2 linked regions of the Drosophila melanogaster genome follow. The protein of the gene in region 2 interacts with the protein of the main gene of each other region in a pairwise test. Each region holds a gene or a part of one and is shown on either strand. Other genes may lie near its edges.

What was found.
Region 1: the proteins of fan (region 2) and gdrd interact in a two-hybrid assay, tested with the Drosophila melanogaster proteins (one large-scale study listed by BioGRID).

Annotation. Positions count from the first base shown.
Region 1 is NT_037436.4:14,689,499-14,692,462, forward strand, and holds gdrd (goddard), read left to right. Parts: upstream 1-1,848; 5' UTR 1,849-1,930; coding exon 1,931-2,272; 3' UTR 2,273-2,464; downstream 2,465-2,964.
Region 2 is NT_037436.4:8,105,564-8,113,746, reverse strand, and holds fan (farinelli), read right to left. Parts: upstream 4,616-8,183; 5' UTR 4,470-4,615; coding exon 3,813-4,469; 3' UTR 3,704-3,812; downstream 1-3,703. Other genes in the region: Nulp1 (nuclear localized protein 1), read right to left, coding at 575-735, 1,033-1,253, 1,309-1,635, 1,703-2,569, 2,641-3,017, 3,093-3,248; Sarm (sterile alpha and armadillo motif), read right to left, coding at 5,024-5,108, 6,798-7,731, 8,090-8,183.

The sequences.
Region 1 (2,964 bases), 6.6 Mb from region 2:
GGAGCTGGGCGTGACCTTTTCACATTAATCTCCAGCTTGATGGCGTTTTAATGCAGGAAACTCAACTATAACTATATGGTTATTTATTGTGATGGGTCTGACAGATGTTGTTCCTGATATGGGATATGGTTTGTGGAGAGCCAGAGCCTAACGAACTGGGAAATGGTCTCTGAACATTCAATTATATCATCAATTAGTTGGTCGTGCAACATGTTGCAAGAGTGATTTGGACAGCAGATTAGGCAACAGCATGAGACCACTTGGCATAAACAAGGGTAGGGATTTAGAGGGTTTTTTCATATGTACATCTCTACTAATTTAGATTGATCGCGAGCTGTTATTTTAAATATTTAATGTGAAATATGTGCGTAAAAAAATGTCGATAAAACTCGTAACGAGTTTTATGTTATGATTCTGTGAAATATAAAAAACAGAGCTTTAACTGTTATAACATATAATGAGTTGGGTATTGTAAATATTAAATATTAAACGTATGGCTTTCTTATATTTCTTAATCAACTATTTATTTATTCCGAGTACATTTTATTTTTAATTTGTAATTTAACTTCAGTGACAGGATTTCTTTACAACATTTTTTCACCAGATTCCTACACTTATTTACAAAAACTTAATTTATCCCGTAGTTTATTACGCCCGAAGATACAAGCGAACAAACTAGAGCGAGCTGAAAAATGTTGCCTACTTAGCAGCGCAACGAGTTTTCAATAGAAAGCCCATAAAGTGAAAGACGTCGCAAAAGTCAAAGCCTTGCCACAAGCCAAATGCCAAATGGCATTATCAATAGAGGATTCAGCGAATCCCGGAAGATATAGAAAGCCAAGTGTGTGAATTTAACTTGGTGCAGTCATGAACATGCATTCGCAGCTACAGCTCCATATATACATCTTAGTATGTGTGTAGTGCCATGCCATTTATTCCATTGAACAAAAAGTCATTTGTAAGTGTTTTTATGCGTAACGGAATTTATGAGGAGCAGTTCCTCAGCAGATTTATTGCTTTATTACGATGTGGCAGAGCGATGGGTATCAAGATGGGAATCCAGTTTGGCGACAAAGGCCAGAGAAAAATAAAGAAATGGCTGGCAAATATTTAGCACATGGAGGCGAAAAACTCACTGAAAGAATGATGGCAAAGAGCCATGGGAAAAGGGGAGGGTTAAGGGGAAAATGGCGAGAGAATGAATGCTGCATTTCCTCCCTTTTCGGCTTTTGTCTCTCTTTTTCTGCGTACGGATTTTCCTCGAATGGTGGCGGGCTGTGGGTGGAACGGGTGGACGGAATGGGGTGGACCTTGAGGGCGTTTCACATCGTCGACATCGTCATCAGCATCATTCTCATTGCAGTCGTTAAGTTATAGACTTTGATTTCGTTCGCCTCGTTCAGCTGTGGGGAAACTTTTATCCTCACTGCCACCCAAAGTGCGTCCTTTTTGGCAGAGTCGTTTCAGAGATTTATTTGCCTTGTGCCCTGGCAACTTTCGACTCTCGACATCCATATCCGTATCGTTTGCTCTCCTCGCTCTTAAATTGCTTTAATTGATTTCTGATTTTATGACCCTGCTGAACACATTTCACACATGATTACATGCCAAGTGGGTTGCGATTTCTTAAGAGGTTTTAAATCCGTCTATTCTTAATTTTGAAGATAATTAAAACGTTGGTTTTAAATAAAAAATATAGTTTGATGTGTCGCTTAATTAAAAATGTTTCAACGTTGTGACCATCTACTCATATTTATGGAGTTTGGATTAATACTATTGTTTATTGTATAGAGTTACTATATCAAACATGCTGCTCTCGATTTTGTTGTCAGTATAAATTCTGTCTTTGATCTGTTTGCACTTAAGTCTGTTCTAGTTCACAGCTCCTGAATAACTATTGAAATTTCTGAAATATATTTTTTTTGTCAAAATGTCGGACGACGGATCTGATATATTCCAAGACCTTGAAAGCTACGAGCCCTATACAGAAGGTAGCCAAAACAATAGTGACGAAGCAACTGCAGTGGGGCCTCTCGATACCTCTGAGGACGCTCGCTTCTCCGAGCAGGTATTCTCGAACATTCAGGAGCGTCTGAACCGAATCATTAATCGCATTAGCATGGCCAACTCTGCCGTGGTCCAGATGAAGAGGAAGCTCCATGCTCGAATTCCATCCGTACCTGTTGGCGAAAACGCCGACCAGTTGGCTGGAGGCGATAATCCAATGCGATTTGAAAACGTCGAACAAGAAAACGAAACCACCAACCAATGATATAAGAACATTTTTATATTTCTCATTTTCAAAAATGTATAAATTTATTGTATTTATTTATTGTTATTGTTATTGAAGCCCATTTAACAAATCACAAACAGACCCGAGTTAATTGTTAAAAAATTATGCATTAACACAAGCCAAGGATTCGAAAACTAAGCGCATATAATAAACTGAGCAATGAGCAAAAGCAATACATTGTATACTGCCCTTATCGCCATAATCTAAACTATTTTCAACGATATTTGCAATTTATTAGTGGCCCTCCACACACAATTGCCAAACTTGCTTTCATTCGGTCCACAAACTTTGTGGACTTCTTTTCGGCGCATAATAAACTTTTCATTGACCGCCCTTCAAAAATGTTACCCCAAGCAATTTCGAGCAGCTGCATATTGTCAGGGGGCCTTTTGTTTTGTCGAAAACTTTGCAAAGTCGGAAAATTTGAGACTGAAATTTGCATTTGCCTTTCGCCACATTCACATAGAAAGACGAATTGCCTTGGAGCCAAACAAATATGTTAAAAGCAATAAATAAGAAAGGACATTCTTCAAGTTCGTCGTCTGCCGCTCGAGATATTGGCAAAACGTATTATATGCGATAAATTTCGACAGAAAGCTGAAGTCCGATACTTATCAGTGGAAATGAAGCCAAACATAATTTGCCATAAAATGCCGTTGCAGCGGCATTAA
Region 2 (8,183 bases):
TTTGTTAGGCTAACTATAAAGCAACAACTCCGATGTCTGCCAGTTCAACCCCCTATCTAAGGTGCATTATTTCTAGAAGTCGACTTTTATACCATACTCAAACACGATCACACACAGTCACACCGATCTAAGCTCTTGGAGAAATCCCGGCTCTATACACAATTAAATACGAAAACGCTCTACTTGTCATAGAAATATTTATAATTGCAATAACTGCAACCAATTCAAACACTGAATGAACAAAAAAGGAAAAACGAAAAGAAATATTGATGAGAAATCTGTTTGTTATATTGATAAGCGTAATTAAAAAGGCATTAAATAAATCAATAAAACATTCTTTAAGCTCAAACACTTTCGTCGCTTTCGATCTAAAGCTTTTACTGGAAAATTTTATTCAATGCATAAGTTACATATATATATTTTTTTGTGTTCAAATTGCTCTATGTATTGTATATATAAATTTTGTGACGGTGTCGCTAAGCTGAGAAAATAGCAAAAGGTGGTTTCCAAAAAACATGTCCCGAGCTAGAAATCCGAAACAACTTCGTTACGCCTCGCGTAATTGACAAACTGACTAGTCAATGTAGTCACTGGAGCCCTCCTCCTCGTCGTTGCTGCTCGTGGATTGTGCCGCCGCCGTTTCCGGCGAACGCAAGTGCTCTGCAATCCGGAAGTTTTGCAGGAAGTCTCGCATCGCGTCCATCATTAGCGTTAATGACTGCTGCAAACCAGCTTCTGCAATAATGTTGGAGGAGAAGTGTAACTACGATATCCGCTAGCGATTCTTTTGGAATTTCAGCATAATTTTAGGTTAGATTTTTGACGATTTTAAGAATGAGAAACAAAATATCGCTTTTAGCCAAGTTATTGAAACAAAAGCCAAAGCTTTAATACAATTTCGGGATATGAACGAAATTAAGCAAAGCCATAATACAACCAGCGAAACATATTCTAAGATTCATGCTCTGTGACGAAACGGGGGCGACAAAATCGGTTTTATCTCAAGATATTTTTAATAATGCTCATACGAACCTTCTCCTTCGCCAGCTACGCCGGCAGCTCCTTGTTCAATGCCCACTTCAATGTTAGCATCGCCTGCAGCTGCTCCCGCACCTGCTGCTGGTGCTGCTCCTTCTTGTAGCTGAGCATTTGCAGCTAGGTTGTTAATGTTAAACGAAGGCAAGAGCGATTGAAAGAACATTGACACAGAATTGTTCGTGTTCGTTGTGGGGCTGCTGCTTGACGAAGATTTTCTGCAAGTACTGGTTTTTAGAATTTACTAACTTTGAGCCGATTCGAACGACATACCGATGATAGCAGTTGACGCTGTTCGGTGGCGGCAGTGGATCATAGGTCATAATGGCTTGCTTCTCCTTGGACACGAAGACCGCCAGTGGAACTTTCTCCTTGTAATCGGAGAGTATGACATGTCGAAGAATGGGCCTTGGTGGTGTTCCACTATATCGCAGTGATCGCTTCTCCTTGTACTCATTAACCAGGGGATCCTTACTCTCAATGCGATCTAACACTATGTTCACGTTGGATTCCAACCAGGGTAGCACCTCGTTCTGACGCCAAACGACTCTTGCACGGCACACATACAGGCACACCAGCTGGTGCAGGGCGGGCGATTGACTGGTAAACAAGATAAGACATTAAATTCCATACCACTAATCATTCACGGAGATAAGACTCCACTTACTTGCCCGACACATCTGCAAAGAAGTACGATGAGGCCAGGACCCTCTTGTCCGTTTGCACCGACATCTCGTCCAAAAGAGGACGTAAAACACCCGGGAACATTAGTAGGGCGTATTGCAGTGCCTGGTTAGAGCGTTCACAAGCGCCATAGAGCGTGTGTAGAGCCAAAGCATACGAGTAGGCCATATTGGGCAGCTGATTGAGGTTCCTCGCGGCGTTATACTTTTCATAGAACTCTACCAACCATTCAAACTGCTTGCTGCGCAAGGCATAGTAGTCAATCACTAGAATCATGGCAAGAGGATCTGTGTCTGGCTGAAGACTCAGGAGCAGTTTGGAGATCTCGAAGGCGGTGCGGCTGCAAGCTCGTTCCTCCAGGTACTGCGCGTGCTTGAACAGCACGATGTAGAAGGATCGGTTTTCCTGTCTCCGGTAGTCCAGTCGGCAGTTGCCCGACGTCAAACTGAAGTTGATGTGCAGCGACGATTCCAGAAGGAGAAGGGCGCGCTCAAGCAGTTCGGAGGCCAAGGAAAAGTCTTCGGTCATCTTGCATACTTCGCTGAGTTGAACCAAGGAGTCGACATGATAGGGGCAGCGTTTGATAAGTGTGATCAGAAATTCCGAGTCAATGCGCTCGAGAGCAGAAAGGAACATTTGCTGCACTCCCTGGTAGTATTGGCTATGCTCAAAGGCAAACCATTGAACGTCCGCTCCATTATCTGTGATAGACTTGGAGGACACCGATGGAGAGTCTGGGGCGGGCAGCAGCTTCATCGTGATGGTGTTTTTAGTCAGTGCCGGCCACGAATCCTTGGCGGTCACCATATAGGTGGACTTCAGCGTGGGCTTCTGCCTGCCACGCTTGGTTCTGAAAGAAAGTTTGATTGCAAGAGTTAAGTTTCAGAATGGAAGTTCTTAGCCCAGGCACTCCAAACTTACTCCACTTTTACCACCCGCTTGCCAAAAGTGCGACGCATCTCGTTCTGTGGATTCAGGTGCCGTAGCTCTACGGCCAGCAGTTTCTTGGTGGCAGTAGTCCCGGTGGCAGCCGATACCAACTGTTTCGCCGACTGTCTGGGCACCGCATCGTAGACCTTGCCAAGGAGCGGATCCACCTTCTCAAAGTACTTATCCTGACGCTCGTTATCTTCGCTGCTGATGTGATTCCCACTGGACTTGGCCTTCTTCTTGCGCTTCTTTTTCTTCTTTTTGGCCGCACTGGCAGTAGCATTGGGCAGGGCAGCAGACGGATGCTCCGTTTCATTGTCATCTTCTTTGAACTCACTCTCCGAGAGACTCAAACCGGCTTGATTGAGCTAGAAAATTTGTGGGAACGGAGGATTATGCAGTTCATTCGGTGATGAGCTGGCTATTTTTTAATAGCGGCCTACCAAATCGAATGGATTAAGGTGTGATTTTCGATAGCGTTGCATATCGCTGTCCTCCAGTTCATCATTGTCGCTCAGCTCCTCGCAGTCCTCGTCATCGGGCGGTGGCGCCAGCTTGTCAGCGTCGCCCTGCAGCTTCTTCAGCATTCGCGCAGACATCCTTCAAGTGTCCTTATACCCCTTAGCAGGAATTCTATTTAATTTCGTCGCAAAATACGTGTGTATTTCGCTGTTTTTTTTTTCTTCACCACATTCGCTTTCGCACGGCTGCAGGGTTGCCGAGCTCTGTGGCCACGCGCGCTTCACAGCACTGGCCTAGACAGGTGGTCCCGTCTTGGCGGGAATTGAAAAAGAAGTTCTAAATTTTAGCAAGTGCTATACACCTATACGCCTTGCCTGTAGAAGTTGGATCAAACTTGACGTGTTATTCACAGAAATTTTAATAAGTTTACTTTTTGTCTCTTCATAAAGTGAAATAGGAAAAAGCATTTTAAATTGTTTTGAAAAAATTTATTTTTATTCGACATTTCCTATTTTAAACTTATTTACTTCTAGTAAAGTGAGAATATAACATCTTACGCATTTATTGGTATACAAGCATAAACTAATTATCTATCTCAAAATAGAATATGCAACCAAAATGTCCTTTATTGACAAATAATTTTCGTACAATTTCGGTGCAATTTACTGCCTTATGTTCTAAAAACTGCCATGATAAGGAATTTACAAACGAGTCTTGCCATAATAGGCGCCTGCGACAGCGGACAGTATAATGATTACTATGGCGGCCATGTAGAAGAAAGTGCGCCCAATCGCCTGGTCACGCAAGCCGTCGATCTGGTCTGTGAGGGCCATATGCTCGTCCTCCAGCATGCTGACTTGCTTGAGCAACTTGGCCATTGGCTCACTGACTTCCTGGGCATCAAAATGGACCTCTCCGTCCTTGTTGTCCGTGGATATTACAGCTGAACCTCCCGCCTGACGGAAATCGTCCTCCTTCGAAGGGACTAGCTCACATTTGATCTTGGTTTCCCGAGTTTCATTCGGGTTCTGCATCTTCCAAAACTCCTGCACATCGCTTATGTCACCAGTCACCTCGGCGGCCAGGAGAAGGAACTTATGACGCTTCTTTATCTGCTCCTGCAGAATTGGCTGCATGAATATGTCAACGCTGACCTTCTGCTCGGGCCCCAAGACACCGATGTTGGGGCGTACATAAAAAAGTTTTGGAGTGGTGGTCTTCATCTTGAAGGCCATTCGCTGGGTCTTACTGGTGTTCTTGATGACTAGCTTCCTGCTCACCGAGCGGTTGAATGGTCCCTCAAAGACGATCACATCGCACGGGTCTAGCGCAAGTTTGCTCTCGGTATTGTCGGACATATTGGAATATTTGTACCTTTTTATTTTTCAAAAAATCGGAAGCGATATGAACTGGAACCGATTATGACCAATATATGAAAAAATGTGGTACCAAATGAACACGTTCCCTGACAATGCCGTAGTGCAAATGACAGAAAAAGGAATGTGAAACTTTCCATTTCAGGGCTGAATTGAGTTCACATATTGCTTGATTTCGTATGAATTCAACTTTTCTGGTGTGGACACACTGGTCGGTTTTGAAAGTCATATGCGCAGCATCACTATTATAGATTGCAGCTATTAGCTTATGTTGCTTAAAGGAATGTCTTAAAAGCTATATTTTAGGCTAATTTCATAAATTATATACAAACCTGTCTTTAAATAATGTTCAAAAACTTTTTAGAACTTTTGCAAATTGTAGTTTTTTGTATTTGTAAGTTCAAGATGTTTAGATAACAACATGATTTCGAGTTTCAGATCGTTCGTTTTATTTGTTTTTTGTTTTATTAAATATTTACAAAAATTCGATACGTTTGTGTGACTGAATGTGTGTCAGGTGGGGGATGGTCCATCATTTACCAAAATATCATGCGCCCGGCATTGGGGGAGGTGGCCTTGGACAGAATGATGCCCGAAAGTTCCTCGTCCTCCATTTCGTTGCTGTTTCGAGTGGGAGGAGGTATGGGTAAGATACAAATTAAAAAATGTTTGACAGGACTCTTTCGATTTATGCAATTATATACACGTTTATTGGTATCGCTATTTGCTTTGATTGCTTTCTTTCTTTTTTTTGTTGCTTGCTTGGTAATAAATAACAATGAATGTTGGTTGTCGAGACGGCGGATGCTGAGTGTAGGCATCGTATTAATCTCACGGTGTGCGATGATGGGTTTTTCGAAATCGAAATCGATTCGATTTGGTGGGTGGGTGCTTTTGTGGGCGGGGGCAGTACAACAGGCACAACGATAACAACAGTTACAACGGATTGCGGTAGCCAATTTCGCTTTTATGGTCTACAAAAAAGTCCGGATATAGAGAAAGAAAGAGGGAAGAAATAAAAGTGATAAGATATATACAAATAAAACATTTCGAATTCCATTAAAGGCACAAACACAAATTCAAATGCAGAACGCAATACAAACATTGAACAAAACGTATAATATCGGTACATGCGATTGATGATATAGTATGGACTGATTAAGCAGGGGAACAGGGCTAAATAGGGCCAATAATACACATTTAGTTTGAATTAAGTCACATTTTATTTCCTTTTTTTTTTGTATGTATTTCGATTTTTTCGGCTTTCGTATTTAACTTTAGGCACTATTTAAATATTAAATATATATTGCAAAAATCAATAAAAATATGCCTTAAAAACTCCTGCGCTAAAAATTAGGTTTGTACAGCATGTTTTGTTGTAAAAATTTTGCATTAAGTAAATTTCGATTATACGTAGTTTAAATATCACTTATGTAAATATTTTCGTTTTAAGCCACACGGGTTAATTTTAAATTTTGCAATTTTTAGTTTACGTTTTGCGGACGGTTACAAGAACATGTTGCATTCGCGAAAAATGTACAAATTTTTAAACATATTATTTATAAATAGCATTTTAAATATAGAGTGTTTTCGCTCTCCAATATATTTTTGTTTCTTGTAGTGTTTAGAATTAGATGGTTTCTGTTTTGTGTTCTATAAATTAGGTTTCGTATTTATGCAGTCGTTAATTGTATTTTTCTTTTCATAAATTAGTTTTCGCAATTTAAATTCGCTTACTTATTTTTCAATAAAAAAATAATTATCAAAATCAACAACTAATCACAAGGCAAATAGAGTTTGAAGATATAGAAATTGGCGGGGGAGGGGCGTTCGTATATATTTTTTGGGCAACGCAGGCGAGTTTTAGTGGATGCTTAGCGAAACGAGTCAACGAGTGGCGAGTAAAAATAGCGAACGAGTACCAACACCAGAGAAAGAGAAGTAGAGTCAGCGAGTGGAGGTAGAAAGGTTGTAAGGGTCCCCAGGGGGTGGATGAATGCGTGATTGGATGAGATTCTTTTTAGATGGCACAAATGCAGCGAGTGGCGAGAAACGGGTTAACAGGCACTTAGTGGGCGATTGGCGAGTAACTAGAAGCACCTTTTCACAATCTGATTTCTTTCGAAGTAACATCTGAAATCTTTTATCCGAAGCGTTACCAGTTAAATTTAGATGAAGAAACTTAGTGGTGAAATCAGATCGTGAAATGATGGATAACAGTAATATTGAGCAGATAGCGAGTGACGAGCGACGAGTGGGGACATCGAGTCCCGGTCCATCTCGTCTCTCTGCCTCCTCGTTATGGCTTACTTTTTTATCAGCGAGCGGACCTTCTTCATCGTTCGATTAAATATCGTCTTGTTGTTTCCTCCGGCACTAAAGTTGGAGCCCAGTGAGGAGTTGGAGGTCTTGTTGCTGGTCAAACTGGCTCCCCGATGAACCGAGGCAGATGCCCTCTGTTGGTTGCCATGTCGCAGACATTCTTCTGGCTGATCCTCCCGCTCGCTTTCCGTCGCACTCACACCCTCAGGACTCTGGCGTTCCCTTACCCTTTCCATCGCTGGTTGCGGAGGTCTTTCGGGAGTGGGGGATTTCGAGGAGGAGCTGGTGTCCCTTCGTTGGGGCTGCGGGGTCATTGGAATGGCCAGGTTTTGCATACTTTGCGTTCCATCTGCGAGTTCGCTACTCGGTGGAAGCAGCTCTGCTAAAGTCTGTTTGCTGAGAATATGATCCAGACTTCGGGACTTTCTGTGCTGCTGTACATTTCCCGGTGGGGATAAAGTATGCTTGTCACGCCGGGTCACCGAGTCATTGAGGGCGGCATCCGTCACCTCTTCTTCGGGCTGCAGAGTGCTTGTGGAACTGGCGTTCGTTAGAGCTGTACTACCCGCTGTCACCTTGGCCGCAGCTGCTGCTATTCTTTGCTCTGGAGTTGAGCCCGCCTGATCTAGAAGCCCATCCACACTGTGCGATCGATAGCCACTGCCCATGCCGGAACCAGATCCATGACCTAATCCCGCGGCGGAACTCCTCCGCGGAGGCAGATACGCCAATGGCATCATATTCTGCATGGACGCGGAACCCGCTCCGGTTTTGTGGAGCAGGGCTGCCTGTTGGGTGCGATACGGGGTGAGGATTTGGGAGCGTTTCGAGGGCGCCCGAGAATAACCACTCAACTGCGAGGTGCTGCCCCTTTGGCGGGCCGGTGAGGGAGATTGGCGGTACCTATTTGCCTGGTGATTAGCTGCGCATGAGACGGCGTTTCAAGCGATTTCGAGTGTGTGGCAATCAGAATTAAATCAATTATTAATTGGTAAGAGTAAAGAGTAATGGATAGTGTAGTTGTAATGGGTTGCTTGAGTTGAGTGAGAAAGTAGTAGGTGTATGGGTGGGGGTAGAAAGTGAGAGAGAGTTGTACTAGAGAGTGTGACTTGAGGATCTCTGCTTAAGCCTAGAACATATTCGAGTTGGCTAGCTCTGTAAATCGTTAGCATAACTTGGCTCACTCTACGCTGGAGCCGCTGGGGGACTCTGGTTAGAGCTTGAGCTTGAATTTGAGTTGGGAGTAGAAGAAGTAGTAGATGTAGTACTCGTTGGCCCACCTTGTCCGCTGCCATTGGCCGCCACCATCAGGCCATCCACCACACTGCCCGTAACGCCGCCACCACCTCCTCCTCCAGTTCCTGCTCCTGATCC